Linked DNA regions of Callithrix jacchus. The protein of the gene in region 2 purifies or fractionates together with the protein of the main gene of each other region. This does not show direct contact. Links are inferred from orthologs where the notes say so. Each region holds a gene or a part of one and is shown on either strand. Other genes may lie near its edges.

What was found. The genes of interacting proteins can lie anywhere in the genome.
Region 1: the proteins of MEX3C (region 2) and MYCBP2 purify together in Homo sapiens (affinity purification with mass spectrometry; 3 studies listed by BioGRID and IntAct, with this or other methods). This does not show direct contact. The link is inferred for Callithrix jacchus from reciprocal best matches to the Homo sapiens genes MEX3C and MYCBP2.

The regions. Positions count from the first base shown.
Region 1 is NC_133502.1:38,262,212-38,264,390, reverse strand, and holds the end of MYCBP2 (E3 ubiquitin-protein ligase MYCBP2), read right to left. Parts: intron 1,334-2,179; coding exon 1,218-1,333; 3' UTR 502-1,217; downstream 1-501. UniProt on the Homo sapiens protein: Atypical E3 ubiquitin-protein ligase which specifically mediates ubiquitination of threonine and serine residues on target proteins, instead of ubiquitinating lysine residues.
Region 2 is NC_133514.1:94,375,206-94,377,976, forward strand, and holds the end of MEX3C (RNA-binding E3 ubiquitin-protein ligase MEX3C), read right to left. Parts: coding exon 2,309-2,771; 3' UTR 502-2,308; downstream 1-501. UniProt on the Homo sapiens protein: E3 ubiquitin ligase responsible for the post-transcriptional regulation of common HLA-A allotypes. Binds to the 3' UTR of HLA-A2 mRNA, and regulates its levels by promoting mRNA decay.

The sequences.
Region 1 (2,179 bases), on a different chromosome or scaffold from region 2:
CAGATGGTTTGAGCCTAGGAGTTTGAGACCAGACTGGGCAACACGGCAAAACCCCATCTCTACAAAAATTACAAAATTAACTGGGCATGGTGCTGGCACACGCCTACAGTCCCAGCTACTCAGGGGGCTGAGGCTGGATATCACTTGAGCTCAGGTGGAGGCTGCAGTGAGGTGAGATCATGCCACTGTACTCCAGCCTGGGTGACAGTGTGAGATCCTGTCTCATAAACAGATAGATAAAAGCTCACAATTCTGCTAGTTAAGATAGAATTTCCTAAATGTTTTCTTCTGTCTCGGTATGAATACGTCTACCTACGAATGTATATATATTCATGATTTCTGCCCAGGGTTTAAGATTCCAACACTAAACCTCATTACTATTCTTATTTTCCCTAACAGTTATGAAAATTATAATTATGTTAGTACATTTCTGAGGAAAACTGGACTTTTAGACCATAAAGGTATTAAATTTTGTTTCTCAAACAACACCTCCCACAGCGGTAGACTTTATCACTGTATAAAAATGTACAGTGGGTTTATTGACATGTACATTCCAATATGTTTACAGCTGCAAGATAATGAGGCACACTCAGTATTGCACTTCATTAAAATTTCAGGCTCAAACTTAACCTAGAAGTTTAAATGAAACTGCATTTGTAATTTAGTAATTCTTATACAGGACAAACATTGATATCTTTATATACAGTGTGATACTTATTACATTTGTATGCTGTCCTAACACAATTTTTTTTTAAATAACAGTCTAGGAAATAATCCAGAATATTCCTCTTTTTTATCCCCACCTGTGATGCAATTGTACAGGATTACAAAAAGGCAGTATACAATAAACAATGATTATTTTTCTTTTTTTGCTTGAAAGCCAGCATCATTCTTAGTCCACTGACATGGCGATTCTTTTATATCAATTATCTATAAATGTCCAATGCTTCACAGGCCAATGACGGTAATGGCCACATGCAAACACCTCACAAGGTTGATGTCATCTGTTCAAAAGAAGATAAACGAAAATAATGGAGAAACTTTTCATAGCAAGAATTATGTACAAAGTATTTGGCATCCTTCTTGCACTGTGAATGGTTCATTTTCATGGATGTAAAAATGGTCCCGTCCTTATCCTGAGCAGAGTTTTAACCTCACCGCATCCTCATGGGGGATGAAGACAACTTTTCTCTCTGTAGACAAAGGATCTGAGTTTTCTAAAAAGTGTGGGCATTTCTGCACACTCCACATCCCAGAGCAAACTCTTCCCCAGTGGGTGGGTGAACGACATGGAGTGGACATTCGGTTCCTTCTAACTGCTTGCCTTTGGGACCTGTATAAATTTGAAGGAGGCAAAGAAAAATAATGTTTTAAGAATACACACATATGAACCTCATATAAATATAAATCACTGATAGGTTATTCAAAGAAATAACATGACAGTGATTATACAAATATAAAATTTAGAAATTTTTCTTCTGATCACAAAAGTAAAAATATTCACTATAAAAAAATTCAATATAACAGACATATGGAAGAAGTGATGGAGTCTCTTACTCACTATTATCCTGCCTAGGGAGAATCATTATGAACTACAGATCTTTTTCTATCAATAAATGCATCAGATATATCATATTAAAAGAAAGAGCAATGAACAAAAAAAGTCACAAAAAAACCTTAATTTAGTCTGGCAGAACATTATTTTTCTGAATAGAAAACAGGGAGATTTTTGTGTAGAATGTTTTTCTGTAAGTAAAAACAAATTTAAGTTTAAAGAAGCCATGTTTCCCTTTTATCTTTACTGATGAAAAAGCACACACTGGTAAAATGGGAAGGCCAATTATCTGTGTACTTTTAAAAATTACACAAATATAAACAATATTTGAGCATAAATTTTGAACATTTATTTGAATATTTGAACATAATATTTTGAACATTGTTAAAAAATATGAACAATATTATAAAATACAATGTGGAAGAAACACTTTGGGAAAGATATAAATTTGTTAATAATCAAAGTAGGTCTATAAAATGTACTAAAAACAGCATTTTAAAAAAGAAATGTGTTATATTAATGTGTTTCACATCATGGGTTTCCTATCATTTAAAAAAGATTTTTAGTTTCTTTAGAAACAAGGAGCCTTACTTGGTAATAACAGAAAAACACACCAGGCTTATA
Region 2 (2,771 bases):
TAAATGGAGAAATATTTTTGTCAACATTTCAGAGGTACTTTTACCTGAAAGGTAAACTGGTGCTTTTGTATTAGAAAAGAATCTTTTTTATAGATTTGGTGATAAAAAGACAAAAGTCCATAAACAAAGGATGCAAACCAAGTAGAATTTAGGTTGAATTCAGGATTTCAAGTAACAATGTATAAAAAAAGTCATTTACTATTTACAATTAGATCAGTAGTAGTTTGTGGTCAACTACGTAAACATGCAACTAAATCTATGACCAGCCAAATCTCCAATTTACTATAATGTAACACTCATTTAAAGAAAAAGTAAACTTGGACAGGAACATAAGCGACACATTCAAAACCAAGAACATACACACACACAAAATAACTACAAGAGTGAGCACAGATAGCTGGCTGGGAAACAGAGAGTCTATAAAAGGAAATTTTAAATTTAGTTAAATAACTAATCTTCTAAACTGCTAATGATTACATGAAAAACACCAAGGAGAATACATTCAAGTTAATGGAAACAAGTCTTTATTAAGTAACTTTTAATATCAGAAAAATAAAACTCTTATAATTCTCTTTACAGCAAATATATAATATCAGTGCTTTGGCCATCTTAAGTTAAAGGCCCTTTATCATAAAATATATGGTTTTAAATTTTACTCAAATTGAATTTATAATCCCTATGACTTCCCTACATATACATAACAAAAGAGTGTAGTAAAATTAGCAAATACTAAACTATATTGATAATTTATCATTCTTAGTTTGTGGTTTTTAGAAACAGTACACGCACCTAATATATGTCGATTCCTTGGCTTATTAGTTGCAGTGTACAATGCAACAAAATACAAAATACATGCTTGGTGAACATTCGTTCATATCTACAAGACGGCAGCTAGAGATTAAGTTTCAATACTGACATTTACTATCCTACAAGCAATTAGCATTTACATCATAATATGCCATCAAGGCAACTTTTTTTATACTGAAAAAATCAAAATAAAAACCGTTATTTGTAAACTTTTATACGAAATGTAACTCTTCAAGTGGAAATAAAAAATAAAATTTGTCTATTTACTATTGAATACACATAGGATTTCAATTTTCATTATACTGAGAAAAAAAGCTCTTTTGTGTTGGGAAAATAATGCTTCAAAAAATAATTAGTAGAAAAATCCACCAGTATAATGTTTTGTCCTTTCGATGCCAGCACAGATTTGGGAACATACTGAGGATGAAGTTATAGACATCCACAGGTGAAATGTACAAGTGTATTTTAAAGAAATCTTTCCTTGTGATTGGAAATAGTTTGGAAATGAAGTAAACTGATTGGAGGTTGTCACAGCTGCTTTTGTGAATTATGCCAAGGGCATCATTATCCCTTTCTCCCTCCTCCCTCCCCTAAATTACTAAAAAATAAAAATATATTTATAATGTGCAAGACAAATATGGATTGAACATAAAATGTTTCACATTTTGATCTATAGTCTAAAAATTAACAGCTCGATCAGACTAATGAATGGAATGTTCGCATCCTCAATTATTAGCAAATATAGGTGCCATCCCAAAGCCCTTCCTGATACGGGAAAACCCAGGTGGCCATTTCCACATTCATCAAGAGAGGCAATGGGCAGGAATTCACAACTGCATTCCTGATCCACTGATCACACCAGCCTTGAGCACTCTGGGCGAGATGAAGTCGATGTAGCAGTTTTTGTCCCAAATTATAACAAGTGATCTAGTAAACTGCCACCAGCCCTATTATTACCAATAAGTAATCACAATGCATTAAAAAGTTATTTGCAATCCTGCAGAATTAGGCATAAGTTGTTGTAAAATAACAAACAAACAAACCTGTTTTGTCAAAACTGGCAGTGTAAAGAAGGCAGCACTGGAAGTGTATGAGTCGTCTGTAATGCCAAGTACCCTCCCATAAACTCTTAAAGTGGTTAGGCTTTGGGACCCATTGTTTTGAAATCTTAAATGTATACACTTTTCTCATAGGCTCACACAACCTATGATTATCTTCACTCAGCCAAGTTGAACTTCAGCTTTAGCAATCTTATATAAGCTATGTCTCTGGGTCTACAGGATAGTATTAATAATTCAAACCAAACTAATAGACAAGAGACCACTTAGGTTTAGTGTTACCATAGCAGCCTTTTATAAGTTTACTAACAACTTTAGCCTAATCCCAATAAAGCCTGATAACAGTCATAAGAATTCTTTAGGAAGTTTACTGGGGGGTACCATTATACCCATGCCTTTACGAGTCCATATAGAGATATAGTATTTATGTAATATATATATAGTTAAGAGTGAATTTGGATTGCCTGAGTAACAGCTGTCTGGCAAACTGGACATGATGGCGTTCTCTTTTCACAGATCTTGTTGGCACATTCCATGCAGAAGAGGTTGTGGCCACATGGAACTAGGGCAGCAATAACCTCATTCTCAAAGCAAATCACACAGTCATGCTTTCGTCTTGATTCTGGAGGTGAGCTAGAGGTGGAACCACCATTGGAAGAGGAGTAACTATTGGTACCATTAGAAAAAGCAGGGATGTATATTGGAAGGCCAACATGGTTGCCTGTACTAGGTGGGTCGCTCCTAACCCTCCGAGCAAGTGGGTGTTCTATGCTCTCAGGAAATGTAGGAGACAGACGAGGAGTTGATGGCTGACTTCCTCTGCGCTGAGTCTTCATGTTACCAGAAGGATCACTCCCAAAGCCAGAGAGTGGGTTAACTGGTTCAAACGGAGTCCAGATAGTTTGA